Linked DNA regions of Danio rerio. The protein of the gene in region 1 purifies or fractionates together with the protein of each later gene. This does not show direct contact. Links are inferred from orthologs where the notes say so. Each region holds a gene or a part of one and is shown in the gene's direction. Other genes may lie near its edges. The genes, in order: lats2, sav1, anapc1 and amotl2a.

Region 1 (7,977 bases):
TTATGGGGCTGAGGGTGAAATGGCTCGGGCATACATGGGTGGACCACCTGTCATGAACTACATGCCACCGCCTGCCAACCCTTCACAGGGTGCTACCATGGGAAACCCGATGGGACGCCCTGCAAGTATGGGTGCTTACTCCACAAACATGGCTCCTCAAAATAATACTGGGAATCCAATGTACACCCCTGGTCCAGCCCAGCAAAAAGGATACCCTAGTGGGATTGACCAGGCCATGATGGGGTACAGTGTGTCTGGACCACCCATGCAAATCCAGTCTCAGCCCTCAGGAGGGCCTGGAGCACATTATGACTACAGGTCGCATATGATGGAGAATTCCAGCTACGGGGTCAAAAGAAGTGCTTCCTTTCAGAATAAGATGCCCCAACTAACTACAGAAAATTATGTCAATATGCCAAGCAAAGCAGCAATGGGCCAAAATGCTGGTGGCTATGCTCCCAACTTATATCTGCCACCACATTCACATCCACGCCAAGCTAGCCCCACCTCACACCAGGTTCACATGATGCAGCGCCCCCCAGGTGTTGCCCCTGGAGCTATGGGTGGGGAGTTCTCTGATGTTCCTCAAGGCCTTCTCACCCCTTCCAGGGCCAGTTTAAATCTTGACCTGTATGAGCATCACTGGCCAGGAGCTCAAGGTCCTGAGGGGACTCCTCCAGCCAGGCAGCCACAAGGGCCCTTCAGAGGGGAGGTACGCGTCCCCAGTCGGACCAATTCTTTCAACAACCACCAAAAGGTGACTGTGAGGCAGACATTGCCCCCAACAGCTAGTGTTGCTGGGAAGCCAGAGTCATCTTTGGGCCCACCTAACACAATAACTGCAGTGACCTCTCCACCAATTCAGCCACCTGTTAAGAGTATACGGGTCATGAGGCCTGAGCCGAAGACAGCAGTGGGACCATGCCATCCAGGGTGGCTGAGTGCACAATCCCCGGAAGCACAGGATTCTCTTGGATACATCCCAGATGAGAATTTTACCCTGGAACCCAGTCAAGAACATCGATGCCCACCTCCACCTTACCCCAAAACACTGCTTGTGTCTGGATCTGGACCTGAGCCTGCATCCTTAGAGCCTGTAGCCATGAGTGGACTTCAAGATGTCAGTGCCACAGGTAGGACTATCCAGAGTTCCTCGGTAGGAAAGCAGGAGGAATCCATCTTCAAAGACAAAGTGAAAATGGGCAAAGGAGAAAAGGCTGTGAAGGATAAGAAGCAGATCCAGACATCACCTGTGCCTGTACGAAAAAATGCCCGTGATGAAGAGAAGAGGGAGTCTCGTATTAAGAGTTATTCTCCATTTGCCTTTAAGTTCTACATGGAGCAACATGTGGAGAATGTGATGAAGACATACCAGCAGAAACTTAATCGCAGAATGCAGCTGGAGCAAGAGATGTCCAAGGTAAGCTATGCTGGAACTGTTTATCACAAAGAACACCGTTTACTTTATAATTTGTATAATTGAGTTGTTAACTCTTTGAGTTATCCATAAAAGGGTATATTTTTTGTTTGTTTTCAACTGAGTCCCCTCTAACAATCTCTTTCATTATTTTAGGCTGGCCTTTCAGAGGCTGAGCAGGAACAGATGAGAAAGATGCTTTACCAGAAGGAATCCAATTACAATCGACTACGACGTGCCAAGATGGACAAATCAATGTTTGTCAAAATCAAGACACTCGGCATTGGGGCCTTTGGTGAGGTGTGTCTAACCCGAAAAGTAGACACAGGAGCCTTGTATGCAATGAAGACTTTGCGAAAGAAAGACGTTCTTAACCGAAATCAAGTAGCCCATGTTAAAGCTGAACGGGACATTTTAGCAGAGGCTGACAATGAGTGGGTAGTCAGGTTGTACTATTCATTTCAAGACCGAGACAATCTGTATTTTGTCATGGATTACATTCCTGGAGGAGATATGATGAGCTTGCTGATCCGTATGGGAGTTTTTCCAGAGGTCTTAGCCAGGTTTTATGTGGCAGAACTGACACTGGCAATTGAGAGTGTGCATAAGATGGGTTTCATCCACAGAGATATCAAGCCAGACAATATCCTCATTGACCTGGATGGACACATCAAACTGACTGATTTTGGTCTATGTACGGGGTTCCGATGGACTCACAACTCAAAGTATTACCAAAAAGGTAAGAGAAGGTGATGCTTATAGCCTTTAAAAAGTCCTTAATGCTGTTGCAGTGTTTATTAAATCCAATGAATTGGTTGCCTTCTCTCTTTGCACTGCTTGAATAGGGAACCATATCCGACAGGATAGCATGGAGCCAAGTGACTTTTGGGATGATGTGTCTAATTGCCGTTGTGGTGACCGGCTGATGACTTTGGAACAGAGAGCAACTCGACAACACCAGCGCTGCCTGGCGCATTCTTTGGTGGGCACCCCTAACTACATTGCCCCTGAGGTGCTTTTGCGCAAAGGTAAGAATATTCACATAGTCACTCGGAAGTACAAGGACATTACAAAGAATTGCTAGTGCCTATAGAACCTTTTTCTTTTTAATTGCTCCTTTTAATTAATTTTAATACACAGGATACACACAGCTGTGCGACTGGTGGAGTGTGGGAGTGATCCTGTTTGAGATGCTGGTTGGCCAACCACCCTTTCTTGCTCCAACCCCAACAGAGACGCAGCTTAAGGTAAGAGTTCTGTATGCATGTTTTTAGTTGATCCTGCTCCTGGAGGGCAAGTATCATACAGAGTTCCAACCAACCCCAACATACTTGGAAATTTCTAGTAATCCTGAAAACTTGAATAGGTGATTCAATTAGGCAAGACAGTGCCCATGCAGGAAAAAGGACTGCACATCTTTGTTTTCTTTAAATAATATTTTATAATATTTGAGGTTAAGAGTTTTGATGACAAGAAATAAACTTTTGTTGATGTCACTACCTCTACAGGTGATAAACTGGGAGAACACTTTGCAAGTGCCACCACAAGTAAAACTAAGCCCAGAGGCAGTCGATATTATTGGCCAGCTTTGCTGCTCTGCTGAAGAGCGTCTAGGAGGCAATGGGGCTGGAGAAATAAAGGCTCATCCTTTTTTTTCCGAGGTGGATTTCTCCAGCAATCTTCGGACACAACCTGCACCATATCGACCAAAAATTGCCCACCCCATGGATACATCCAACTTTGATCCTGTTGAAGAGGAGGGAGGCCCAGGCGCCTGGAGTGATAGTGGGGATAGCACCCGCACTTGGGACACCCTCTGTTCTCCTCACGGCAAACACCCTGAACATGCCTTCTATGAGTTTACTTTCCGAAGATTTTTTGATGATAATGGTTGTCCATTCCGTTATCCCAAACCCCTAGAGGCGACACAAAGCCTGTCCAGCAGTGACGGGGCCGGCAGCCTGAAGCCTGAGCTGGAGGAGGAAGAGGCCCATGAAGAGGAAGAGCAAGGGGAAGGGTGTGAGCCGGTTTATGTGTGAAAACGTTGGATTGGTTGTTCATGCTGCTCTGCCTTTACCCATGGAGGACCTCACCAGTTAACACGCTGCATCTTCTCTACTTCCTTTCAACACTATTTTTTCTTCAGGGTGTTGCCTGAAATGCTTGGAAGAACATCAGAAATTTAGTGCAGAAAGTTCCAAGTAAAATGTGTTTATTCCCATAAACCATTATGCAGTATCATTTAAAAATGACTGAAGCTCTGACCTGGGACCAAGGAAATACACAAGACCTGCAGCTGCATATGGACGTTGATGTGACTGATACTCTTCTATGAGAGCACAAAAACAGAGATGTGTAGCTGTTGGTCTGTGGTTTGACGTTTAAACCACTCTACTCATGGTTAGTGTGTTGTGTGTCAACCGTGTCCTATTCTTTTATTCCACTGGGAGAAAGAGTCCCAGTCTTACGTCATATGTTAACACATCCCTCACCTCTCTCAACCTGGTGATGCTAACATTCCAAACACCCGAGAGTTTATGGTGAAGGATTACAAGAGTGCTTGGCTTGGGATGGTAGCTCTGTGGTTTATTTTTAAAAGTTCATAATACCAAACTGAATTTTATAGCTATAAATCCATAAATGTGCTGTAAAACCTATTTTTTTCTGCGGTATTGAAGCCAGATTTGGAATTATATGATCTCAGTCTTTTTTTAAAGCGAGCAAACTTTGTTTTAGAGGATTTTGTGGCGCCACCAAGTGGTTCAGAGTGACATTGTCAAGTGTCTTCTTTTCGAAGATGTAAGTCCTATATTATGGACTGACAGTATTAGGTCACTTCTTCATGCAAAGTCTGTCCAAAAGACCATGCAGGATTTTGCAGTTAATAATTAATAATGACAATAAATTATTAATTAATTAATAAAATAGTCTTTTGTAAATATAATACAGTTATCCTTCATTTATGTTTCATGCCTAACGGTGCTCTCAGTCATGACACAATATTAAAATAAAATGTTTTGATGTACAGGCAGCACTTCATGGACATGGGATCTTAAAACTCCCATTATTACAATTATTAAAGGTTTTTAAAACATACTTCAATTGTCTAAACAACCGCCTGTTACTTGAGAGCTGAGGCTAAGCATAAGTATAGTCATTAAATACATAATGCCACAAAAAAACGGATATGATATGAAAATATCATTCACAATATGAAAATGTAAGAGGTAATTAACACTCTTAAATTGTGAATATTAAAAGGCCTAAATCCTGCTTAATGTTTGCTTACCAGTTGCATTGCAGTTTTAAAATTAGTTATTTTTGCTTAGTTGTGTTATATCAGTTGCTGTTTCATTCAGGTGGTATTTAAATTCAACAAGCATTTACCTTGCCTGGCTTGATTTAAATAGTTTCATTGTTTTAAGGCTTAATGATTTCGTTCCCAATAGCTGCTTACATTCATCAGCTGCTTGCGTGTGTATCTAACACTTGCAAGACACATCGTTTTGTTTTGAAGTGTGTTTTCTCAGACCGCTGCAGTTGGCTATCCGGAACAAATTATATAAATTAACTCCAAGAGCTGAGGCTACAGCTATATCCTTTTCTAGTTATGCAAAAAGATTATACGCCTTTCATCACAAGTAACTCTGTTTTTTTATCTCAGAAAATGTATCATATTTCCCACCTCATCTTAATTGCATTTAGTTTCATAAGAAGATCTTAAAAGTCAGACGGGTGGTTTTGTTGTGTGTGTTCTTGCTTATCCAGATCCACTGGAAATGATCTTGTCTGTCACTATCAGTGAACTTATTTTATTATACACACACACACACTCACAAATGTAATCAAACAATTGCAAGATGTTTTGTCATCAAGGCTGCTCACACAGCACAGTATTACAACAAGACAGTCTATGACTGAAATGTAAAAAATACTTTGAGGCAAAAACTTTAACGAAAATGGTGAAAGATAGTTACAAAAGAAAAATGTATCTGATGGTATAACTATGTGCAATACAGAAATACATTATATAGTTTTCTAAATACAACAAATAGCCTTTATAACTTCAAAACTGAATTATGCTATCTAAAAGTATATATTCTATTGATTTATATCTATTTTCAATATAGTTTCATGACCCAATGCTGCTTATTGTTATTAATATTACACTATATTATCATCAACCTTTCAATTATACTTTCTCTTTGTGTAAAAAGTGTGGTTTTGATTGTCAGTGTGATTGATCCGATGTAAGACGAACTGTGTGCCTTCTAATGAATGTGTGGGTGTGTTTACCACGTGCTGATCAGTATTTCTGGAAAGAATGGAAATGCCGTCATTTCTTGCACTCAGGCCGGTCCTGAACGTAAGAGGCGGCATTTGGATGATAGCTGGAGAAAGACGAAAAAAAGAGTGAATGATTGTCATTGAGACTCTGAAGGAGATGTATTTGGATGTCGTAGCATGGTGGATATGGAAACACATTGTATGTGATTGGTCAGTGATAAGGATCCCTAATAAGTCCATATAATAATGTTTAATCATTTGTAGTGAAGCTTGATTGAAGTCAGTCAAACTACCCTGTATGACGTCTGACTGGATGAGTTTTAAAGTAACAGCCAGTGATGATCCGCTTTTATATATTGCTCACTCCTAAAAGTCACATAAATTCCTAAAAATATATTCAATTCAGACTTGTACCTAAATTGTCATCATGTTTTTGGTTCAATCAGAGTAGAATGGAGTGTGACAGCAAGTGTTGCAGATGCTTTGCTTCCCTGTATTTGTCAGATTGGACCACTCAGTGAAAAGGCATGAGCTTTCTACGAATCTCTCACAGAGTCAGGTTTAGGGTTTGAATGTAATGCGTGTGTTGTGCTGAGGATGGATTCTTTGTTTTACTTTTGAAAATGTTGACTGACAATCTTTGACTGTGTTTGGAGCTGTGTGATGATGGAACTTTTTTCCTCTAATGTATGTTTTTGTATTTTAAGGAATGAATGGGTTGGGACTTTTTGACGTAACCTTTAACTGTATTATACAATACTGTTACTATTGAACATATTTATACAGATATACATATTTTTTGTATTCTTTTATCCTTATTTTTCCTCTTTTCTGAGCTAACTTTTGAACCCTTGTGTCTACAGTATTACAGACAGTATGCATTTGGATTTATCTCATTTTTTTACACATATGTATGAATTGAGAATGTTTAAGAAATGCTTTTGCTGTCTTCATGTGTAAATGTATATGTCTAAATTAAATTAAACAAATCATTCTCTTGTTTTGAGTCTGTGTGTGTGAGTGTGTGCATGCGGGTGAGCGTGTGCACGTCTCTGTCTGTTTGTGTGTAGATGTGTTTGGGACACACCCAAGATATTTTTAGCTGATGAGACACACACAAGAGCATTTTTTAATTAAACCATTTATTTCCACCATTAACCTTTTCACAAAAAATATACCTTTTTCAGATTGAAGAGCGCATGTGCATGCACACTCACTGGCCCCTTTATTAGGTACACCTTTCCAACTGCTTGTAACACAAATTTCTAATCAGCCAATCACATGGCGGGCACTCAGTGTAGGTCAGAGGAGAATGGCAACAGTAACTCAAATAACCACTAGTTACAACTGAGGTACACAAAAGAGCATCTCTTAATGCACAACATGTCCACCCTTGAGGCAAACGGGCTATAGCAGCAGAAGACCACACCGGGCGACTCCCTTGTCAGCTAAGAACAGGAAACTGAGGCTATAATTGGCACAGGCTCACCAAAATTAGACAATAGAAGATTTGAGAAACGTTGCCTGGTTTGGTAAGTCTTGATTTCTGCTGCGACATTCAGATGGTTGGGTCAGAATTTTGCATCAACAACATAAAAGCATGGATCCATCTTGTATCAATGGCTGGTGGTGGTGGTGTAATGGTGTGGGGGATATTTTCTTGGCACACTTTGGGCCCATTAGTACCAATTGAGCATGTTATAAAGCGTGAATCATCTCAGACTGGTTTCTTGACTGGCCTCCACAGTCAACAGAACTCAATCCAATAGAGCACCTTTGGGATGTGTTGAAAAAGGAGATTAGCATCCTGGATGAGCAGCCGACAAATGTCAATATCATGTCAATATGGACCAAAATATCTGAGGAATATTTCCAGTACCTTGTTAAATTTATGCCATGAAGGATTAAGGCAGTTCTGAAGGTAAAAGGGAGTCCAACCTGGTACTATGGTGTACTTAATAAAGTGGCCGGTGAGTATATACTAAGTACATTCTTCTTTACACATTCACAGATGGTTTAATACAGTGAGTAATACAGTTTTGGAATCTGATTATAACCTTTTATTATTATTATGTATTTTAAAGATTGTATTTATGTCTTATACGAGTGACAATGATCAAAATAGTGAGTAACATGTCTACAGTCAGATTTGTTATTAAATAAGATCCCCGTTTTAGTAATGCTAAAACTATGTTGAATTATGACTTAAATTATGACTTCCAAAAGTTACAGATAACACCAAGAATGAAACACATTTATGAAAATGAACTCTG
Region 2 (8,481 bases), on another chromosome or scaffold:
GTCCTTATGGGGTCGTCTTCTGAGATCTGCACTGTGTAGTTACTATTGAAACAGCTATAAAGGAAAGTGCTGTCATGAAATGCAGTACTTTTCAACCTTGATGGAACTAACTGAAAATAACATGTTTTAAATTGAATCAGAGAAACAAAACTGATAGGACCGAAGAATTTGTTGCTCGTTTGGAAACTTGATTTGTAATTTGAGTTTAGCGAGCAGTTTCAAGATTTCAGGATCTGTTTTAGATTTGACTTGCTTTTGGATTAACTACATGGAGTTGCTGCAAATATGTTGACTTGTTAAAACAGACTTTGAGACTTTTGCGTGACTACCATGTATCTGTGTAGAAAATCATATATCACCCATATAGTAAACGTTTGATTCCTATTAGAATGAGTGGATTTCACCTGTGAAATACTAATGTGTAAATATGACTGCACATGATTAGGTCATCCTAATGTTCATCTGAAGGACATATTTATAAGAATGTCCAATCTGCTCTTTATAAAACACAAGAATTCGGTGACCAGGGTGTTGTTAAGCTCCAAAAATGCATGTATTTAAATGAACTGTGCACTATATGGTATTTACAAAGTCTTTGAAGCCATATAAAAGCTTTGTGTAATGAACAGATTGAAATTTGTGTTCCTGAGATTTTCCCATTCGTTTTTTATTTCTGACTGAACAATGTTTGCTTTTATAGTACTTTTGAAGTTGGCATGGAATGAATGTTGTCTGTATGTTAATGAAAAGAGCTTTTCCAACAAGAAAAATGGATTGGCTTGTTGGTTTGCTGTTGCTGAAATCCAATTTTTAATTCCCAATTTGTTGTCATTACAAAAATACTGCAATGTTTCATTAAAAAAGGATGGTTGCGAATGGTTCATTTTAATTTGATGGCAACTTTAATAATATTTCCGTTGTTTCTGGACTTCAGTTTGCAGTTGGAAGGTCATCTTAAGTGATGGTGAAATTCCTTAAACCCAGAGAGGCTTGTCCAACAGCTGAGGCCCCAGCATTCTCTCTCTCACACACACACATGCCTATCGCCACATAGTTTTCAATGTAATGCAAACAAGGTCAGTGATTCCCTGCTTCTCAGAGAAGGAAATTAAAGGGCAAGTGCCACACTGTTTATTCACTGTTTATTCCTGTTTGTTATAGTGCATTCTGTCTTTGGGCTTGTTTAGTCAATATAAATGTTTTTTCGCTTGAGAATCTGCACCAGAAAACATCCCATGACATGACTTTAAGTGCAGGAGATCTTTGTGTTCCTATTTTTCATATTTGAACCATAATCGTGTGTGATGAGCACTGTGAATATGAATAATAGCGGGTGTATTCAAATATTTATGCGGAGTAAAAGAAACCTTGAGATCGGAGACGTCAGCCTCATGGTTACCGCTGTATAATTTGTGTGCGGAGAGGAAAATTGCTGGTTATGATGTTTCATTTCAGGCGTCTCTCAGCGAGTGCAGTTTACCAGCTTTGATGCTTGGAGGGGAAAATGTACAAAGAATTACAGGCATTTAAAAATGTCGAAATTGCACTGAAATATGTTGTCCTTACATTTTTAGCATTGTAACAAAGCCTTTGGTGAAGCTTAAACTATATATGCTTTACAGTATTTGTCATGTAAATGATGTATTGTTTTAAGTGTTGATTGTATGACATTTGAATGTTGAAGCATAATTGTTTTTATCTTCATTAAAGAATAGTTTTAGTAAGCACCGTACATGAGTTTTCATTTTAGAATTCATTGGTAACACTTTAAAATAAAGGTCCATTTGTTAGTCAATGTATTTACTAACATGAACAAACAATTCAATACATTTATTACTGTATTTATTCATCTTGGTCAATTAATGTTTTACAAATTAAATAACGTTAGTTCATGTTAACTAACTAATGTTAACAAGCACCACGTTGGATTTTATTAATGTATTAGTTAATGTGCTTAATAAATGCTGTACAAGATTATTCATACCTAATTACAGTAAATATATTAACTAATGGACCGTTATTATAAAGTGTTACCAAGTTACTCTTTTGAAAAAAGCACCAATTAAACACTAAAAGTGCATGATACTTCTGAGTTGCTTCTTTATTTATGTGAACATGTGTTTACTAAATTACTAATTTCTCTAGCATTGTTTTATGTTTATATAAATATATATATTCATTCATTCATTCGTTTTCTTTTCGGCTTAGTCCCTTTATTAATCTGGGGTCGCCACAGCGGAATGAACTGCCAACTTATTCTGCATATGTTTTGCGCAGTGGATGCCCTTCCTGCTGCAACCCATCACTGGGAAACATCCATACACACCCATTCACTACGAACAGTACAGCTTACCCAATTCACCTGTACCATGTCTTTGGACTTGTGGGGGAAACCGGAGCACCCAGAGGAAACCCACGCAAACACAGGGACAACATGCAAACTCTACACAGAAAAGCCAACTGACCTAGCCAGGATTCAAACCACCGACTTTCTTGCTGAGGCGATTGTGCTACCCACTGCAACACCGTGCTGCCTATATAAATATATAGAGATCTTTTAAAAATATATATGTTAGGATTTATTAGTTTGTGTTTGAGTAAAATGCTAATATTTTATTCTGTAAGATACATTTGACATTTATTCCAAAGTTAAAATAAATAAATATTTATTTGTGTAGGCCTATTTGATAACGTAAAAATGTAAATCAACTAAAAATTACTTTGCCAGTATTACAAATGTGTTAATTTGCTGTTAATTAAAATCAGAGTTATTCTATCAAATATGTTTTGAGATTAAAACTTTGGTATTTAAAAATGAATATTTAAAATATATATATTTAAAAATTCTCTAAATTATATTTATTCCCTTTACTTCTGCTTAGTCCTTTTAATTATCAAGGTTTGCCACAGCAGAATGAACCGCCAACTTATCCAGCAAATGTTACGCAGCGGATGCCCTTCCAGCCGCAAATCAGCTCTTGGAAACACCCATACACTCACATTTACACTGATACACTACAGCCATTATTCAATTCACCTGTACCGCATGTTTTTGGACGGTGAGGGAAACCGGAGCACCTGGAGGTAACCCACGCCAACACGGGGAGAACATACAAACTCCACACAGAAATGCCAACTGGCCCAGAGCTCAAACCAGCAACCTTTTTACTGTGAGGCGACAAAGCTAACCACTGAGCCACCGTGAAGCCCATTATAAATAACATTTTAAATTTAAAAATAAAAAGTAATCAGGTTCCAAAATAAACAAATAGTGTGTTTTACTCAAACACGTAAATGGTAAATACAGAGACACTGGGCTTGGCCATGGGGTCACTTGATTTCTCTGAAGGTTTCTCAAAAAATGTTTGTTCAAAAAAGAAAATTCATTCATTTGTGGGGTTTTAGGTCCTATTTTGTACATTTATCTGACAACGCAGCACTTTTATCCTTCAAATTAACCTTACATGTTAAATAAACCATCGCATATCTGTCCTGTAAACCTTAAATATGTGCTAGAAAAAAAGTTCGAGTCAAATATTTCCCACAATGCTTTGCTCCCTGAGGATCTGGCTTGCGGCAGATCTGATCTAGGATCAGGGTAAGGTGAGGGAGCGATCCAGAGAGAGTTGATCTAGGATCAGGCGGTTAAAGACACTTATGGGCGCGGGTAAACTGGTATTATTGAAATATGTGGACTCTTTTAGAGTGACTAATAAACATTACTGAATCCGACTATAAAGTATGCTGATCTGAAGTGAGGCTCGGGTCTAAACAACTGACCTGAGATCAGGCTGCGGCGCGAGATCCAGTAAGAGCTGATCAGGGATCAGCAGGAGATGTGGAGGGCTGGGTTGGGTTGGACATTCAGCTGGTAAAAGTTTTCGTGCGCTTTTCTCTGGGTGTTGTTTGGACAGCGCTCGGGGGAGACTAACGTTATTTAATCGTCGGAAAGAGTTCGTAATGTTCGACTAAACACCGAAAACTGCCAAACGTCCACTAAACGCAAACGAATGGCCAGTTTTGTGCTTGTTTTCAGACTGTAGCCATGATGACTCCAAATTAGCTATCGGGCTAAACGCTCCGAAATGGACTCGGTTTCGCGTGTCAGTGCCAACCTGGATCCGGATTTCAGGATGAAACCGAAGTCTAATCGGTCCAGAGTCGATTCGGATTAACAATGCTCTCCAGAAAGAAGAGTAAAAACGAAGCGTCCAAACCACCCGAAGTTCAGGGCAAATATGTGAAGAAAGAAACGTCCCCTCTTCTGAGAAGTGAGTAATTTTAGTCAATCTGCCAAACAAATCCCCAAAATATAAAAATGGCAAACTAAATATCCTACATTGTTATATAATGTAGTCATTACACCGTGTTTGAAATCAGAACCCTGAGAGTAAAACACAATTTTAAGTGCATAAGGCTTTCAATAAGTAACATAATTCTCTTTAACAATTAGCCAGCACAATGTGTACAGTCACAACTATCAACCTAATAGACCTGTATTATTATAGTCCTGTTTATACGTTTTGAATTAATCAAAAGATAATGTGGCATTGCTCATATTTAATACTTTAATCTAAAACCATTTTCACTTACCACTAGCATATGTTGTCATTAGTTTAAAATGTCATATCTTTTTATTTACTTTAAATACAAAGGTCCAGAAGTAGAATGTTGTTGCTTTAACGTTACCCAGTTTAAGAAAATTATTCTTTAAAGAACACCTTAATATTTTGCTAATAATTATTTTTAAACTGACTGAAATTTCGGAAATCTTCACACAGCAGTAACACAGTATATTATTAAACATAATTGTTCAATATGGTAATACTGTCATTGTATTTGTTGCCAAATTTCGGATCAAATTGTCAAAACGGCATAATTGAATGGCATCAAAAGAGAGACTAATTCATCAGTCAGTAATCAAAACAGCAAGATGTTAACAAATGTGTTTTGTAGAAATCAGACTATCTTCAATTTTATGTTTTATCTTGAAATGTGTTTAAAGTGATGTTTAGAAGACATGGAAAATAATTGTAGTTTAGAAAATCTATATGCTTAAAAATTGTCTTGTATGTTTGTTTAGTATCTTATTCTAGACATTTTTAGTGTAATATTATAAACCTATATCGGAAATTTAAAGGTATAGCTTTTATGTTACTCTCAGGCCACTTGATGATCTTTAAGTAGACTTTATTTCTTCAGGAAAACATTAAAGAAGATTTTTAGCTGAAAATCATAAAATGCTAATAAAAGGTCCACCATCACTTTGAGAATAAAAAAATAAAAAAAACAATATACAGACAAAATAAAATTAATACCTTTGGCTTCTGACGATACACTGATATCTTACTGTATGAAGCTGAAATAATCTCCTAGTGCAAGAAACTGAACATTATTTAAATGTTTTTAATCCACACAAAGGAAGATATTTAAAAGAATGTCAGGAAAAAATTGGAAAAGTAAACATAATGGGTGTAAATATGCTACGAGATCTGTTTAGTTACTGACATTCTTCCAAATACATTCATTTGCAGACCTGTCGCCAGCCTATTGAAACGAGTGGTACTTTTTAATGAAAATTTGACCTTTTTTGCAGTTATTTTCCTCATTTTCTATTCAATTATGCGTTTTAGTGACTTTTTAAGAACTAATCTTTGCTGGATCAGCTTGATGGATGGTAATCATAACCACACTATTTTGATGCACAAAAAAATATTTACTACAATTTTGTCCAAAGTGCCCACCATAGTATTTTACTACGAAGTGTTTATTTACAAGCTTGGATATAAATTGTAAGTTAATCCAGTTTTATAAATAGTGTTATGAGATTAGTGTTTAACATACAAATTTATTATCATCCATCATTAAAAAAATAGGAATCTGGTAAAACTTGTTTTAAAATAAAAACTATAGCCTGTGGGCAAATAAATACTTTATTAAAATAAATACTTTATTAAAATTATTTAAGTCTTAAAGACTTCTTCTGTGTATAATTTTCACAATTTATGATAACATAGCAGTGAAAATGGGATAAATTAGCTCATTTGGGGGTCAAATTTTGGACTTTGTCAGTAGCAGGTTTGTCTTTTGAACCACCCAAACCCCCCTTGGCTACAGGCCTGATTTGTGTTCAGGAAAACAAAGATTTTCATATGGGATTGGACAAATGATGAGTAATAATGACAGATGTTTTATTTTAGAGTGAACTATCCCTTAAAGTATGCATTGATCCACTTACTCCAGGTTTCCCCCCATTGTTTGTTCTCAGATTTGATGCCCTCATTTATCCGCCATCCAACGTTCCTTCGACGCGAACCTCCATTAGTGGAGCCGGTTTCGGCTGGTGTGCCTGGTCCCGGTCCCGGTCCGTACACCACTGGATCTGTTGGAGATGTTAGCGGCCCTAAGAGTTTCCTGCGCAATGCTCCTCCACGGACCCCGCTAGAGGTTTCACGCAGAGAGAGTCACCGTCTGTCTGCCCCGCCACATCTTCATCGTGATTACTCCCCTTCCTCACCATCCTACATCAGCGATGCCAGTTCTGTAACAGAGAACGGAGACAACGGCCCGTATTACTATCCTCCAGAACCATACTACAATAACCAACCCAGACGAGCACGCAGACCAGACCACTTTAATGAGAACTACAGATACTATGACCACAATGAACTCAACTTCCCACGAAACCCAGGACAGCCCCAGACGCCTCAGCCACACAGCCGCCCTCCACCTGGTGAGTTACTTTTGAACTGGTGTGCATTTACACATCACATGCACAGACTTGCACGCATTATAATAGACTCTGCATGGAGTAACAAACATGATTGTCACTCTTTACTATAAATACACTGACGTTTGCTGTGTTTACGAGAACATTTGCTGTTTACTGGATGAGATTCTTCAGGTTCCTCTGACTGAACATAGATTCACTTTCTTTTTCAGCCGAATAATATAAAAAAAGAGGGATTTTATGTAAAATTGGTGGCTCAGTGGAAACACTGTCACCTCACAGCAAGAAGGTTGCTGGTTTGAATCCTAGCTGGGCCAGTTGGCATTTCTGTGTAGAGTTTGCATGTTCTCCTTGTGTTTGCGTGGGTTTCCTCCACGTGCTCCAGTTTCCCCCGAAGTCCAATCGGTGTGTAAATGTGAGTGTGTATGGGTGTTTCCCAAGTTGCAGTTGAAAGGAAATCCGCTGCGTAAAATATATGCCAGAAAAGTTGGTGGTTCATTCCGCTCAGGTGACCCCTGATAAATAAGGGACTAAGATGATGGAAAATGAATGAATGAATGAATGAATATACAGTTCAAGTCAGAATTATTAGCCCCCTGAATTATTAGCCCCCTGTTTATTTTTTTCCCCAATTTCTGTTTAACGCAGAGATGTTTTCAACACATTTCTAAACACAATAGTTTTAATAACTAATTTCTAATAATTGATTTATTTTATTTCTGCCATGATGACTATAAATAATATTTTACTAGATATTTTTCAGGACACTTCTATACAGCTTAAAGTTATATTTAAAGGCTTAACTAGGTTAATTAGGCAGGTTAGAGTAATTAGGCAAGTTATTGTATAACAATGGTTTGTTCTTTAGACTATCAAAAAAAATTGCTTCAAGGGGCTAATAATTTTGACCCTCAAAATGGCTTTTTAAAAATTAAAAACTGCTTTTATTCTTGCCGAAATAAAGCAAATAAGACTTCCTCCAGAAGAAAAAATATTATCAAACATATTTTCAAAATGTCCTTGCTCTGTTAAACATAATTTGGAAAATATTTAAAAAGTAAAGAAAATTCAAAGAGGGGCTAATAATTCTGACTTCAACTGAATGTAAAAGTTTAGAGATTGTTTCTGTTAAATATATTGCATTCTCTTGTTTTTTTTTAAATAACATAATAAGATGACATTTGATCAGATTACTTCTTTTCTTCAGGAAAATGTTAATGAAGATTTGTTTTTGAAACATTTGTGCTTTTAGTAATTCATAAAATGCAATTCAGTGGCTACCAGCATTTTGGGAGTCAAACAAACCATATACAGGTTCAACAAAATAATAACTGTGGCTTCTGACAATACGTTGATGTCTTATAAAGCCAAAATGGTTTGCCAGTGCAAGAATCCACATAAAGGAAGATATTTGAGAGAATGTCAGCAACAAATTGGGGGAACAAATACAATAGGAGTTAGAGCTGCACAATTAACCAAAAAAGATAGCTCTCTATTGATAGATCTTTATTCGACCCTACACCCGATCTTAATTAAGCTTTTTTACAATTTAGCCAATCATATTTTCATGGTCAGGACAGAAGTATAAAAGTGGTCGCACAAGTCTTCACATTGTTGTATATACATTGCTCAGCAACATTGACACCTCCAAATGGTGTTAAAATTGTCACATACAGTATTTATAAGGTATATTTCACCCAAAAATGTCATTTGTCATCTTGTAATGACAAATTTGTGGCTGCGAAATCGCA
Region 3 (7,440 bases), on another chromosome or scaffold:
TGTCTTTAGATAATGTAAAATATTGTGCAAAACTCATATAACCTGCTTTTAAAGGGATAGTTCACCCCAAAATTTAAATTTACTCTCCCTTAATGGCTCTTCCCTCTGTTGAACACACACACAAATAAAGATATTCTAAAGAAACCTCTAACTAGTGACTCCCATAGCATTTGTTTTCTTTCTATGGAAGTCAGTGGTTACAGGTTTCTAACGTTCTTTAGAATAAATGTCAGTGTATTTCATTTTAGGGTGAACTATCCCTTTAAGGCAGTTTTACTTTAAATGAAATCGAATACACAAGCACATTTACATATTCATCGAAATGACATTCTGTTGTTGTGGGCTTTATATTGTTGCATGAGGATTTTGACCTTTTTACCTCTTCTGCTTCTGCAAAAGAAATAAAGTCAGGTGGTTTTTTTGGAGCAACTTGTGTATCATTTCTGATCTGTATGTTGGGAAATATTTCGCAGAAAGCTTTCTTGATCTTTTATCTCTTCAAAGACTTGTTGACATCAAAACTAAAACAAGCACTGTATTAGTAACCACACCAGCATACGCTGATTATGTTTTATACTCTGCAAAATTTTGCCGTTTTTTCCTTTAAACACTTTACTAATACTTTAAATAATTTACTTTGAAAGTAATTCAACCATATATTTCAATTTTGAGCTTTTAACAGCAAATATGTATGCTTTACAAACAACTGCACTCTGTTAGCATTCTATTCCTTACACTTAAACTATGAACGTAAAAGTTAGGAAAGGTTTAAGTGAACTACAAGTATTCTAATGACATTACTCTCATGAGGCAAAAAATGCAAATTACATGACTTGCACAAGCACTTTTCCACATGTGCACATTTGAGTGTACGATTAAACACTAGCCTCTAGAACACTTAAGACTAGAGCGCCTTATACCAACTTATAGCATCATCTGCTGTTAAAAACTAGCCTACTGTGCCATCGGCTGTTAACAACTAGCCTAGAGCGTCATCTGCTGTTTAAAAACTTGCCTAGAGCACCATTGTCTGTTAACAACTAGCCTAGAGGATCATCTGCTGTTTAAAAACTAGCCTAGAGTGCCATCTGCTGTTTAAAAACTAGCCTAGAGCGCAATCTGCTGTTTAAAAACTAGACTACAGCACCATCGGCTGTTAACAACTAGCCTAGAGCGTCATCTGCCGTTTAAAAACTTGCCTAGAGCGACATCGGCTGTTTACAACTAGTCTAGAGCGTCATCTGCTGTTTAAAAACTTGCCTAGAGCGCCATTGTCTGTTAACAACTAGCCTAGAGGATCATCTGCTGTTTAAAAACTTGACTAGAGCGCCATTGTCTGTTAAAAACTAGCGTAGAGAATCATCTGCTGTTTAAAAACTAGCCTAGAGCGCCATCTGCTGTTTAAAAACTAGCCTAGAGCGCAATCTGCTGTTTAAAAACTAGACTACAGCACCATCGGCTGTTAACAACTAGCCTAGAGCGTCATCTGCTTTTTAAAAACTTGCCTAGAGCGACATCGTCTGTTAACAACTAGCCTAGAGGATCATCTGCTGTTTAAAAACTAGCCTAGAGTGCCATCTGCTGTTTAAAAACTAGCCTAGAGCGCAATCTGCTGTTTAAAAACTAGACTACAGCACCATCGGCTGTTAACAACTAGCCTAGAGCGTCATCTGCCGTTTAAAAACTTGCCTAGAGCGACATCGGCTGTTTACAACTAGTCTAGAGCGTCATCTGCTGTTTAAAAACTTGCCTAGAGCGCCATTGTCTGTTAACAACTAGCCTAGAGGATCATCTGCTGTTTAAAAACTTGACTAGAGCGCCATTGTCTGTTAAAAACTAGCGTAGAGAATCATCTGCTGTTTAAAAACTAGCCTAGAGCGCCATCTGCTGTTTAAAAACTAGCCTAGAGCGCAATCTGCTGTTTAAAAACTAGACTACAGCACCATCGGCTGTTAACAACTAGCCTAGAGCGTCATCTGCTTTTTAAAAACTTGCCTAGAGCGACATCGTCTGTTAACAACTAGCCTAGAGCATCATCTGCTGTTTAAAAATTAGCCTAGAGCGCCATCTGCTGTTTAAAAACTAGCCTAGAGCGCCATCTGCTGTTTAAAAACTAGCCTAGAGCGTCATCTGCTTTTTAAAAACTAGCCTAAAGCATCATCTGCTGTTTAATAACTGGCCTAAAGCGCCATCTGCTGTTTAAAAACTAGCCTAGAGCGCCATCTGCTGTTTAAAAACTAGCCTAGAGCGTCATCTGCTTTTTAAAAACTAGCCTAAAGCATCATCTGCTGTTTAATAACTGGCCTAAAGCGCCATCTGCTGTTTAAAACTAGCCTAGAGCATCATCTGCTGTTTGAAACTAGCCTAAAGCGCCATCTGCTGTTAAAACTGGCCTAGAGCGTCTTCTGTTGTTAAAAACTAGCCTAGAGCGTCATCTGCTGTTTAAAAACTAGCCTAGAGCGCCATCTGCTGTTTAAAAACTAGCGTAGAGCGCATTCTGCTGTTTAAAAACTAGCCTAGAAGCCGTTTGCTGTTTAAAAACTAGCCTAGAGCGTTGTCTGCTGTTTAAAAACTAGCCTAAAGCGTCATCTGCCATTTAAAAACTAGCCTAGAGCGCCATCTGCTGTTAAAAAACTAGCCTAGAGCGTTGTCTGCTGTTTAAAAACTAGCCTAGAGCGTCACCTGCTGTTTAAAAACTCGCCTAGAGCATCATCTGCTGTTTAAAAACTAGCTTAGAGCGTCATATGCTGTTAAAAGCTAGCCTAGAGCGTCATCTGCCATTTAAAAAAATCTAGCCTAGAGCAGCATCTGCCATTTAAAAACAGCCTAGTGTTGTCTGCTGTTAAAACTAGCCTAGCGTGTACCATCTGTTGTTAAAATCTAGCCTCGAGCACTGTTTGCTGTTAAACACTAGCCAAGAGTGCCGTCTGCTGATTAAAAACTAGCCTAGAGGCCATTGGATGTTAAAAAAAAACTAGCTTAGAGCATTTAAAAACTAGCATAGAGCATTATCTGCTGTTAAAATAAACTAGCCTAGAGCACTATCTGCTATTAAAAACTAGCTTAGAGCACTTGCAAACAAGCCTAGAATGACATATGCTGGTAAAAAAAACTTGCCTAGAGCACATCTCTTTTGGTAAAACAAACCTAGATTGCCATCTGCTGTTAAAAACTAACCTATATTGCTATTAAAACTAGCTTAGAGCAACATCTGCTGTTTAAACTAGCCTAGAGTGATGTCCGCTATTAAAACTAGCCCAGAACAATGTCTGCTATTAAAAACAAGCCTAGAACGACGTCTGTTATTAAAACTAGCCTAGAGCGACATCTGCTGTTAAATTAGCGTAATCGTCTGCTGTTTAAACTAGCCTAGAGCGACGTCCGCTATTAAAACTAGCCTATAGCGACGTCTGCTGTTTAAACTAGCCTAGAGAGCTGTCTGCTATTAAAACTAACCTAGAGCAACGTCTGCTGTTTAAAGTAGCCCTAGTGCACCCTCTGTTGATAAAAATAGCCTAGATAGACGTCTGCTGTTAAAAACTAGCCTAGATAGACGTCTGCTGTTAAAAACCAGCCTAGAGCATCGTCTGCTGTTTAAAACTAACCTAGAGTGACGTCTGCTGTTTAAACTAGCCCTAAAGCTTTGTCTGCTATTACAACTAGCCTAGAGCAACGTCTGCGGTTTAAACTAGCCTAGAGTGATGTCCGCTATTAAAACTAGCCTAGAGCACCGTCTGCTATTAAAAACAAGCCTAGAGCGGCATCCGCTGTTAAAAACTAGCCTAGACGCCGTCTGCTGTTAAAAATTAGCCTAGAGTGCCATCTGTTGATAAAACTAGCCTAGATAGACGCCTGCTGTTAAAAACTAGCCTCGAGCATTGTCTGCTGTTAAAAACTAGCCTAGAGCGCCATCTGCTGTTAAAAAAACAGCCTAGATCCATCGATTCAAGGTACAATATTGATGAATTTAGATCAGTTTCTCGAACGCTGGTTATCGTCTCCATTGTTAACATGCAATAACATTATATTTCTGCTCATTGTGTTTAGGATGTTCCAGTTTTCCAGAGCTGCTCCTCAAGAGCAGTCAGTTGGGTGTTCCCATTCGAGCTCTTCTACGATTGAGTCCTTTACTCCTGCAAAATCACGACTCTGGCGTTTAACCGCACTCCTTCCGACCACTTCATCTCCTCGAGCAGGTACTGCAGGGTCATCACTGTCCTCAAAAACCATCAACTTACAGGAACTTGCTACAGCATCTTACATCAACTTTTTATTGCATGAAGTTGTTATGACATCGATGAGATCGGATGCTCACAGGTTTGCTCACCCCTATGTAAATAGCTTGTAACTATTTGTACCTACGATAATTCAGTCAATAAATATGACTTGAGGAAATGGTTTTGATAAAGTGTACCTTGTGTGGTTTGGGTTTGTCAGTTTTGAGGGGGAATTTTAGTGGCAGCCAAATTTAGGGGCTTTTTTTACACATGCAATATCTGTTAAATTGGATCAGGTTTAAATGCTGAAAGGTTTCATATTGTGTCACTTTGTGTAGCAATTCACTCTGACAAGCACCAGGAAATCAGCCATTCTCATCTTAAAAAGTGTACTGTATGGCTTCCAGGCGCTTCATTACTGCATTTGTGTGTGTTTGTGAGATCTGCACTTTATCATTCATCATATTTTGATCAAATCTTTAGGGGTTCGATTAAATCAGGCTAGTCAGTCACGATGAATAATTTTGTTGTGCAATATATTGTTACAGAAATTATTGTCACTGATTATGCAATGATTATGCAAAATCATAATAATGCTAAAAGGCAAAAACACTTTAAGTTGAGCAAAAATGTTCATTCTTAAAGGTACACTGCACTTTTTTTAGGGAAACTAGGCTTATTTTACAGCTCCTCAGGACAATTTTATCCTTTTTTGATTCATTCACCCGATCTTCAGCTCTGGTGGGAGCACTTTTAGCTTAGCTTAGCATAGATCATATAATCGGATTAGACCATTTGCATCTTGCTCAAAAATTAGCAAGGAGTTTTGATAATTTTCCTATTTAAAGCTTGACTTCTGTAGTTTCAACGTATACTAAACTGATGGAAAACGTAAAGTTGCTATTTTCTAGGTTGATATGTCTAGAAACTATACTCTGATTCTAGCGTAATCATTATCAAATTTTGTTGCTGTACTATGACTGCAGCAGGCACAATAATACTGCGTCCGCTGCTTTTTCTTCATTATTAGGTACAGTTGAAGTCAGAATTATTAGCAACCCTGCTTATTTTTTTTCTCAAATTACTGTTTAACGGAGAGAAGATATTTTCAACACATTTCTAAACATAACAGTTTTAATAACTCATTTCTAATAACTGATTTGTTTTATCTTCACCATGATGACAGTAAATAATATTTGACTAGATATTTTTAAGACACTTCTATACAGCTTAAAGTGACATTTAAAGGCTTAACTAGGTTAATTGGGTTAAGTAGGCAGGTTAGGGTAATCAGGCAAGTTATTGTATAATGATGGTTTGTTCTGTAGACAAATAAATATATAGCTTAAATGGGCAAATCTTTTTGACCTAAAAATGGTTTTAAAAAATGTAAAACTGCTGATATTCTAGCCAAAATAAAACAAACAAGATTTTCTCCAGAAGAAAAAAATATTATCAGACATACTGTGTGCTCCGGTTTCCCCTTACAAGTCCAAAGACATGCGCTATAGGCATACATGTAAACCCTCCCGTTTTTCCCCGGATTCTCCCATATTTTACAGTTCTATTTTGCTATCATCCTGTAAAGGTATTATCCCGTATTTCTCCCATATTTTCATTGTTTCTCTGAAGAGTGGCAAGAAACATTAAAGAGGCGTGCCTCCCTATAAGCAACCCATACCGCCACACCACCAAGGGCCGCCCTTTGCTCCTAAATGTGAGCCTGTTCTGTTGTTTCACTTTGTTTAGGCAAGAAAACACTTTGAAAATCATATAAAAACGGCGCGATTCCCCTTCCTTTTCACTACAGGTGCCGTCCCCCTCCTATGCAATCTTCAAAACAGTCGTATAGCGGTGCGTGACTGTCAGCTGACGCGCTCCATAGTGATAAATAGACGCTGTTTCCCAAACGGATTCTGCACACGCGATTTGAAGCGGAGCGAAAGTCTGGATTTTGGGTGCGTGTTTAAACAGGCATATACACATATTTAATATTAATATCTAAAGATGTCGATCTTGGTGTTTTTTTTTTTTTAAACAACTAATTTAGTCCTAAATGAGCATAAAAAGCAGTCGAATGCCTTCATTATATCGTTAGATGTGTGCATTTTTAAAGTGACACCTGTTATTTAATGTAATCAATCTAAAAAATCTAAATAAACGAGAGATTCATTTGTTGCTCTTTAATCATAATGTGTAAGTTATACAGTGGAGAAAAGGCTAATGAGATTTAATAGCTTGATTCTATGTCATTATAACAGCTATCTATCTTAATAAGCTGAACTGTTTGCTAATGTATTTGCCTCTAATGTATATATTTATTTTTTCTTTTGTAAATAATAATAATAATAAAACATATTACTGACCATTTACTGTTTACTTGCAATGAAACAGCTCCAAATGAGCATATTTAGTCATTTGGGGATTTATATAGGAGCTTATTATGGTGGGCATATCCCTTATTTTCACATCCCAATGTTGACAGGTTTGGCTATAGGTGAATTGAAAAAACTAAATTAATCGTAGTGTATGAGTGTGAATAAGAGTGCATGGGTGTTTCCCAGTGTTGGGTTGCAGCTGGAAGGGCATCCGCTGCGTAAAACATACATTATGCTGTCTAAGTTAGCAGTTCATTCTGCGGCGGCAACCACTGGTTAATAAAGAGACCAAGCCGAAAAGAAAATGAATGAATGTTATTTAGAGCATTTCTTATACAAATATACAAACAAAAATCCAAACTTTTCAGACATCCAAATTAATTTTTGATAACACAATGGAAAATGTTTAATTTTTAAAAGGCGTTTATAGAAGAAATAATGATGGAATAACTGATTTTCAATAACAATTTGTTATTCTGACTAACAAAAATATTACTTTAAAATTTGTTAAAAATGTTCGTAGGCCTAAATAAATTAAAATTTTAGCAATTGACTCAAATCTATATCCAATAAATGCACTTAATCCAGATATTTATATAGGTATCCTGGGGTTTTCAGGCTGACCTCTTTTGAAAAAGCCTGTAAACACACCTGCAGAACACCTGGGCATCATGCTGGCAGGATTTGCATGGGCATCCACCTTTGTATTTCCATCAGGAAATGTAAGAGTCTAGTTTGCATACGTCTGCTAGTCTTCCACACTGCTCTCCAGTATTTACAGTGGCTCAGCAAAACAAGCATTGCATGAGCATTCCTGTATAAATGAAAACCACCCCACACTTACC
Region 4 (7,769 bases), on another chromosome or scaffold:
AGACTTCTAACGCAGCTTGTTGTTGTAAACGAACTCTTTATATGGCACATTGCTTAGTTTTCTATAAGAGCGATGGGTTTGTTATTGTGGCTAAACGTTTACTCATTAAATAAACTGCAGTGTGTGCATGGAAGGGCTTTGTTTATAGGCAGAAGCCAACTTTGTTTTGGTGCATTTGTTCTGGAAGAATTTATAATACTTTAGTTGTACATTCTTTAAAGTACACTAATAGAATGAGGAACTAAACGTTTATTTCAAATCTTGTTTTCATGCTTCTTTGGTATGTTCGAATGTTTTACTACAGTTGTGGTTGTAAAACAAATATGATACACTGGATAGGAATTTGTAGTTTGTAGCAGGAAATAATTTGTGCAACTTTGGAAAGTTGTTGGATTCTAACTGAATTTTCCATTGCTTCCTATGCTAATCAATAGTATAAACTTGAGCAGAAACCCAGCTCATAGTGGGTGTTGTAGGATGGTGCCATTGGTATTTTGGGTGAACGTGGTGTTGCTATGGGTAAAGGCAGTCAGCCTAGAAGCATGTGGAGTGAGGCACCACTCACTGGTTTGTTGTTAGAGAGTGTTTCAATATAGCTGAACAATAGAAAGGATTTGCATTTGAAATATTTATTTTTTTATGCAGGTTCACAGTCTAGAAGATCTTTCATAACACAGTATCACTGATTGCTGTCTGTTAAACATAGACTGAAATGAGAACGGCAGAGGAATCATCAGGAACGGTGCTGCACCGACTGATTCAAGAGCAGCTTCGTTATGGAAACCCTACCGATCCTACTCTGTTAGCCATCCAGCAGCAGGCTCTGCGTGGAGGCAGCAGCGGTGGAGGTGCAGGAAGCCCTCGTTCATCCTTGGAAAGCCTAACACAAGAGGAATCACTTTCTCCCCAGTTGTCCGCCCGGCAAGAGCCCCAGGGCCAAGAGCACCAGGGTGACTTCCAGCATTCAGAGAGTCCTGTTTGTCACCTTTATCAGCTCCACACAGAGGAGCTGCCTACTTATGAGGAAGCAAAGGCACACTCACAGTATCTTGCCTACCAGAGAGGACAGATAGGGCTTCATCACGGCAGTCTGGAGAGCCCTGGAGGGGTTGGAGGAGCCGAACAGGACGACAGCATGTGGGATGCGAAACGAGAGCATGCACGCTCACTAAGTGAGCGTCTTTTGCAACTCTCACTAGAGAGAAATTGTGCCCATGACAATATTCCCATGAGCTCATCGCATAGTTATCCCCAACTCTCTAATAACCACTCTGATTCAGTTGTGAATGAGCAGTCAGTTCATCAGCCAGACCAACGGGGTCCTCCCCCGGAGTACCCCTTCATGGTCAGATCCCCTGGATATATGCTTAGTCATTCACAGGAACATGGACACTATTATAATGAGCCCCCTCCTGCCTTCCATTCACAGCATTACAGGTAAAATTATATTTTGGTCGCATTGTATATACTGTACACTCTATATGAACATCATGGGTGTTCTAATGTTTATTTTTGTCTCTCTCAGGCTATTTCCAACACAGCCACAAGCACCTCGTCACAATGGCCTGCCCACATTGACCCCTGCTGGCCAGGATGTCAATGTTGGAGGATACAGCATCCCAGCGAACAACTTCCAAATGGAGCAGCTTATTAAAGAGAACGAAAGACTGAAAAGAGAAGTGGACAGCTACAGTGAGAAGGCGGCAAGGTTACAGAAGGTAACAGGATTCTTTGTGTGATTGCAACTTCCTTGCAACCTTCTAGAACTGTGATGTTTTTGGTATGACCTCACATTTTGCCAAGGATGCAAAAAGGCAGCTGTGTCCTTTGATTGTGAACTCAGACATGACCTACAAAGAGTGAGAACAAGAAATCATTGTGCGCTGGTGTCTTCTAGCCTCTGCATTCTAAGAAGATTAGCTCTCTTGCCGTGTAGGAATGCATGCAAGGGAGAGGATCACAAGGACTTCAATTTAATTTGAAAAGGACACATTCTTGGTCACTGAGTGAAAATTCCCAGTAACTTATTTAGCATGCGAAACAACACTGAATTTACCCATGCCTAAAATGCCATGCATTTTTCTGTAATGTGATAATGTCATCACTGAAATACCAAAGTGTTATGGCAGAGCAAGGGGGAAAAACAAGCTTATCTTGGTGTTTGTTTTGCTAAAGTTTATTGGGCCTATTGTGTGTCGTTCAGTGGCAAAAGCTAGATTGAGTTTCAGTGGAATTCAGTCCATACATGGTGCTTGGATTAAAAACTATGTTCTTAAAATATTCTATCCTAAAACACTGATTCATGAACATTAAGCCACTATCATACAAACTACCAAATTTGAAATCCCAGTCAACTTTAAAGGGGAAGGGGGCCTCGCTGGGTTTTTCCTGTGGCCCTCTTTGTTAGGATTCCAATGGGATTCCAATAGGAGCAGATGTCTTGGCTCATCTTCGTGTCCGAGAATGAAGAAGGGGCTTTGGCTAGCCCACAGCTGATGGACTGGGCTGCAAAGCGCAATCACAAGGTCTCACAGCTGTGGATTCCCTGATTCAATGGCCCCTTTCACTTTCACTCTTGAACAGAGCTCCACACGGCACCTTTTGACCTGCTTGTGAACCTACACATGTAGGTTGCATATATGTAGTTTTTAAGTTAAAAATAAAATCCAGAAAAGGGAAGAAATTATAAAAATAAATCAGTGGTGGGGTTTTGTAAGCTTCCATATTTGTTTATTTGGAAAATTTTGTTCCTTTTGGACGATCGCTTTCTCATCCCATTTTCCATGTCATAAATGTCATACAGGTGCATATATTGTGGACTGTTCCAGTCTCTCTGAATGGTATTCCTCCAGCTTGCACATTTCCTTTGTTCCCTGTATTCGCCTTTGGCATCCTGCCCTGTAGGGAGATGAATGTGCGGACACCTGGGACTCATAAGTGTTCTTTTTGGAATGTTGATTCAATTCCCAGTCCCTGAGGAGCTCTGTGAGAGTGATTCACTAGTGGGCAAGCACCACAGAGAGCCCCAGCCAAGCACATTCTTCCCTCCTTCCCTTTTTATCTCAAATTTTTGTTTGTATTTTTTTCCATTCTTGCTCTTGCGGCTCCTTGTTTTATTACGTTTGGGTTTATGAAACACTACTGTGCCAGCCGAAAAAGAAAAAGTGTCTTATACTTGCCCTCATGTTGTTGAAAATCTGTATCCTGTTAGTTCTTCTGCTTGACACTAAATTATATTCTTAGGAGTATTTCCAACCTCCTGTGAATCTCCTGTTAAAAGAGACCAGGAACTGATGGGTATAAATTGGATGTTAACATGCCTTTCTTCTCTCTTTCAGCTTGAACAGGAGATTCAGAGGATATCGGAGGCCTATGAGACTCTTATGAAGGGATCTGCAAAGAGAGAAGCCCTTGAGAAAACCATGAGGAACAAGCTAGAGAGTGAGATCAAGCGACTTCATGACTTTAACAGAGATCTCAGGGGTAAGATGGTTCGCATAGCTGAGTAATTGTCTTATAAATGAGTTGCATGTTTTGGTATGAGGCAATAAATACTAATTGTTGACTCCCTCATTAGACCGCCTGGAAACAGCCAACAAACAGAGAGCAGCCATTGAAGTTGAAGACAAGAGTCGGCATGCCTTCGCCAAACTGGTTGAGCAAAGTAAGAATTCCCCTTTGCTTCTCTATAAATTATCCTTCTCCCAATGTGCGGTCAACCATGAAACAATCCCAGCTGTTCCCACTGCATTCTTTCATATTTATATTGTTGGCTTAACGATGCATTCCATTAATAATTAATAATGTGTTCATCATTGAAATGTTTCTTGACAGAGTGCTTTGTTGTATTTAGGCAACATAAATAAATAAATGTATTTAAAAAGTCTATGTAATGTAGGGTCCAGTACCTGGTTAAGCACATTCTATATTCTTCATCTGATATAGTTGCTTTTGGAATTTGACCCGCAACCATTATTAACACTGTAAATAAATATGACCTGGATTCCTGGAATATTTACAGGTATTTTGGGATATTCCGTCCTCCTGGAATGCTTCCTAACAGCTCCCCCACTATTTCAGCCACTGAGGCCATAGAGACCCTTTTCTGGTGCCCTGTGCGCTGTCTCTCCATTTTTGGGCAAATTAATGCTAAAGAATTCCAATCTGTGTTAGAGTAAACTGGATTTGTTTTGCTAATCCTAATAGGGATTGTTGTTGTTCAGTATTTGGTTGGATTCTAATAAAATGACTGTTGTTCCCCCAAGGAAAGAAGTATGATTTTAATCTACCCCCAGTCTGGGGTTAAAAACAAAAAAACAGAAAAGTCTGAGTCAAGGCATATCTTTGCTTTGTGAATAAAAAACAGTGATATTGTAAGGTGTTTAAAATTTCCTTTTGAGCTAACACATAGATACGTCAAAGACATGATTCAGCATCTCTGAAGGCTTAGAACAACGTGTAGGTTAACGTTACGCTTAATGACCTTTTGCAGCTATTTGCTTTACTTGTTTACTGCATGGCTCAGAGGCATTCCAGAGATCCAGTTGGTACAAAGACTTGCCTGTGTGTGTAAGTGGATAAGTGGAAGCCTGCATTCCATCCAGTGGCATTTGTTTTGGGTTGTATAATCAGAGCAGAAGGAGAATGGAAAACTGATTCCTGTCTAATTATGAGTTGGATTTTAGTATGTCCTTTTCAGTGTGCCAAGTCATCTTAAAGGGTTTGAGGAATTTGGCATCCCAAATGGGAATTCAGTGAATCGCTTTTGTAATCTGGGAATTCTAAAGCAGTCTGCAGTGTAGGTCAAAGGACACAGGGAAACTTGGCCACTCCCCTGCAAACCCAGACAGACGTGTGTAAATCAAGCATGCCTCTTTTGTTCCAGACTCTTGTGGGAAGCTTATCCCTTGAGAATTGGTTAGAATGAGAGAACAGCCCAGAGAATGCTATGGGCACACCCCAGTCCTACTGCATGGTCATTCATTTTGTGGCCTGTGTGAGAAGCATAATGACTGAATAGCATTGAATGTTCTTGTACCTTTACTGTAGTAAGTTGTCATGGTACATGGTTCTCATTTTGTGTGTCTCTTTTTTTTTTTCCATAGATGAGGACCATCTTCGAGAGCGGGAACGTCTGGAAAAAGAGACACAGCATCTAAGGGCTTCAGGAGAAGAATGGAAGAGGCGTCGTGAAGCCTTGGAGCAAGCACTTATCACAGCTCAGACACGAAATAGGCAGCTGGAAGAAGAGTTACGTAGGAAGAGAGCTTATGTGGAGAAGGTGGAAAGGATGCAGAGTGCATTGGCGCAATTGCAGGCAGCATGTGAGAAGAGGGAAGCTCTGGAGTTACGACTTAGGACCAGACTGGAGCAGGAGCTGAAGAGTTTGAGAGCACAGCAGGTAAAAGAAAAAACAGACAACTTCTGTTCAATAAGAATCAACAATTTGGGATTGAAAAGTAAACCACTATTTCTCTTTCAGTGGCAGGCCAAAACCCAGCATGCAAGCCCAGGGTCATACTTGGACCTTAATGTATCATCACTACAGCAGCAACTGAGGGAGAGAGAGGAGCAGGTTTTGGCCCTGGAGGCTGACATCACCCGCTGGGAGCAGAAGTATCTTGAGGAGAGCACAATGCGTCAGTTTGCCATGGATGCTGCTGCTACTGCCGCAGCTCAGAGGTGAGTAAAAGCACAAGTGGAAGAGATGCCATAGTCAAAAAATAGTACTCTTTTTAATTTATTGCTCAACTCTTGCATCAACCATAATTCTCTTTCCAGGGATACCACAATCATCAACCATTCACCCCGCAATTCACCCAACAGCAGCTTCAATGAGGATTTGCCGTCCCCCAACCACAGGCATCAGGAGATGGAAAACCGGTATGTCCACCATTTACATTCTCTATCCTATTCTAGAAAGTCTGTATTTGCTAGAAAAATTAGTTTCCTATAGTTTTGATGTTTTGTATCTCAAAGTAGTCCATGTTTTAACAGGATTCGGGCACTTTATGCTCAACTCTTGGAGAAGGATGCCATTATAAAGGTCATGCAGCAGCGGTCAAGACGAGAGCAAGGCCGACCTGAGTTACAAGGCTTACGACCTGCTCGATCTGTTCCCTCCATCAACACCGTTGCCACAGCTAGCACCACCCGAGCCAAAGGTGAGCAAAGTAGTTACGGGCCAGGTGATGTACAGACCTGCCACTGGAAGTCCTGCACAGCTTGGCTTCAGCCTATCTGGACCAGAATTAACTGGTTCAGGTGTGTTTAATTAGGATTGTATTTAAAGAGCAAGACTGAAAACTGTGAGCCAACGCTGCACTTCTGTGACATACACTTTCAGCTGGACAACTGGAAGCTTCTTTTCTTAGTGGCTATGTAATGTCGCCAAGGAGGAATGTGCCAACCAAAATAAAATGAGTGCTGTGACTAGCTGGTGTTCTTGAAATAGTCTACTTCTTGTGAAATGGAATGCATTTTGGTATTCCTGTCCTCAAGAATAGATTCACAATAATAGTAAAGGGAGTTTTCTGGATGGCAAATGTTTGCATGGCGGCATGCCTATATTGGAACATGTAATTAAACTGCTTCCTTTTCTATCTGCAATTTCAGGGAAGAGCCTATCAGATGACCAGACAGCAGTCGCATCTTTGCCCCCATTGCCCCATCTGCTTGCCAAAATCCAGTGTCGAGACAGCAGCACACAGTGTGATTCAGAAGAGCCCAGCTGTAAAGCAGAACCTGCTGATGTTGCTGTATCTGCTCCAGAACCTTCCACTGCTTCTAGCTCTGGTGTGTAAGCTCATGCCATTTTCACTCATCCCACATTATTTGGTAGACCCATAACTTGGCAAATCTATTATGCATATCATGTGACAAAGACAACCCTTGATGGTTAGAACTTTTATAATGATGGTGCATACTTGCCCTTTTGAACCAGAGTAGTTAAAGTGTAACTTGAAACACTATGTCAAAATAGCGGTTGGGGAGAGGACTCAAACAAAACATAGTTTATGTTTTGTATAGCTTCCCACCTTGTTTGCTGTTCAGGCATGAACAAAGAAAGCTGACAGTCTTACATTATATTACAGAATCAACCTCTCTCAAGACAACCCAGATCAGCAGTGCCGTCGAAAATGACATGGTGGAGATCCTCATCTGAGATTAACAATGTCCAGCATGTTGCTGCCTGCTGCTCTCAGGCACAGAAGATTCTTCTTGGGTCTCCATCTGAGGACCAACCTAATCAAGAGAAGCTGTGCTTGGTTCAATAGGGAACTCGCCATTGAAGCTGATTTTGAGTTTGTGCATCAGGATGTGAGAAGAATGAATGGTGGATCTTTGGTGAAGGAGAGCTGAGCTCCCCTTGACAGCTGGTGACTGAACCTAGACTGTGGATGTATGGTCTGAATGTGAGGTACTTGGACAGTACTCTACTCTAAAGCTACCACAAAACTTAAGTGCTTATAAACACATTGTATATGTTTATGTTATATTGTATTTATGAGTTTTGCTGCTGATTGTGTGACATTTAGTTTGTAAAGTGTGCAGAATGGAGTAATAGGACGAAATATCCCACTATTGTGAAACTTGTGCATTTGCGTTCCTTTGAAAAACAACCAAGGGCAGTGTTCTTTTTTTACCAGTTAAGTATACCAACCCATGTAAGACTATATCCCACATTCCTAGATAAAAAGCACAGACGAATATATCTCTAACTTTACACGCTCCATGTATAGTAGGTATGCCATTGCAACTGCTTCATC

Evidence for each region.
Region 2: the proteins of lats2 (region 1) and sav1 purify together in Homo sapiens (affinity purification with western blotting; 4 studies listed by BioGRID, with this or other methods). This does not show direct contact. The link is inferred for Danio rerio from reciprocal best matches to the Homo sapiens genes LATS2 and SAV1.
Region 3: the proteins of lats2 (region 1) and anapc1 purify together in Homo sapiens (affinity purification with mass spectrometry; 3 studies listed by BioGRID and IntAct, with this or other methods). This does not show direct contact. The link is inferred for Danio rerio from reciprocal best matches to the Homo sapiens genes LATS2 and ANAPC1.
Region 4: the proteins of lats2 (region 1) and amotl2a purify together in Homo sapiens (affinity purification with western blotting; 3 studies listed by BioGRID). This does not show direct contact. The link is inferred for Danio rerio from reciprocal best matches to the Homo sapiens genes LATS2 and AMOTL2.

The regions. Positions count from the first base shown.
Region 1 is NC_133184.1:22,911,268-22,919,244, forward strand, and holds the end of lats2 (serine/threonine-protein kinase LATS2), read left to right. Parts: coding exon 1-1,420; intron 1,421-1,573; coding exon 1,574-2,156; intron 2,157-2,262; coding exon 2,263-2,445; intron 2,446-2,557; coding exon 2,558-2,664; intron 2,665-2,925; coding exon 2,926-3,456; 3' UTR 3,457-6,702; downstream 6,703-7,977. UniProt on the Homo sapiens protein: Negative regulator of YAP1 in the Hippo signaling pathway that plays a pivotal role in organ size control and tumor suppression by restricting proliferation and promoting apoptosis.
Region 2 is NC_133188.1:40,259,799-40,268,279, reverse strand, and holds the start of sav1 (protein salvador homolog 1), read left to right. Parts: upstream 1-3,853; 5' UTR 3,854-4,177; coding exon 4,178-4,271; intron 4,272-6,268; coding exon 6,269-6,733; intron 6,734-8,481. UniProt on the Homo sapiens protein: Regulator of STK3/MST2 and STK4/MST1 in the Hippo signaling pathway which plays a pivotal role in organ size control and tumor suppression by restricting proliferation and promoting apoptosis.
Region 3 is NC_133188.1:50,865,034-50,872,473, forward strand, and holds the end of anapc1 (anaphase-promoting complex subunit 1), read left to right. Parts: intron 1-4,047; coding exon 4,048-4,160; 3' UTR 4,161-4,395; downstream 4,396-7,440. UniProt on the Homo sapiens protein: Component of the anaphase promoting complex/cyclosome (APC/C), a cell cycle-regulated E3 ubiquitin ligase that controls progression through mitosis and the G1 phase of the cell cycle.
Region 4 is NC_133181.1:30,491,679-30,499,447, forward strand, and holds part of amotl2a (angiomotin-like 2a), read left to right. Parts: intron 1-645; exon of another isoform or gene 646-706; 5' UTR 707-712; coding exon 713-1,437; intron 1,438-1,525; coding exon 1,526-1,718; intron 1,719-3,338; coding exon 3,339-3,483; intron 3,484-3,577; coding exon 3,578-3,664; intron 3,665-5,105; coding exon 5,106-5,401; intron 5,402-5,482; coding exon 5,483-5,682; intron 5,683-5,781; coding exon 5,782-5,883; intron 5,884-5,997; coding exon 5,998-6,164; intron 6,165-6,615; coding exon 6,616-6,795; intron 6,796-7,094; coding exon 7,095-7,165; 3' UTR 7,166-7,769. UniProt on the Homo sapiens protein: Regulates the translocation of phosphorylated SRC to peripheral cell-matrix adhesion sites. Required for proper architecture of actin filaments.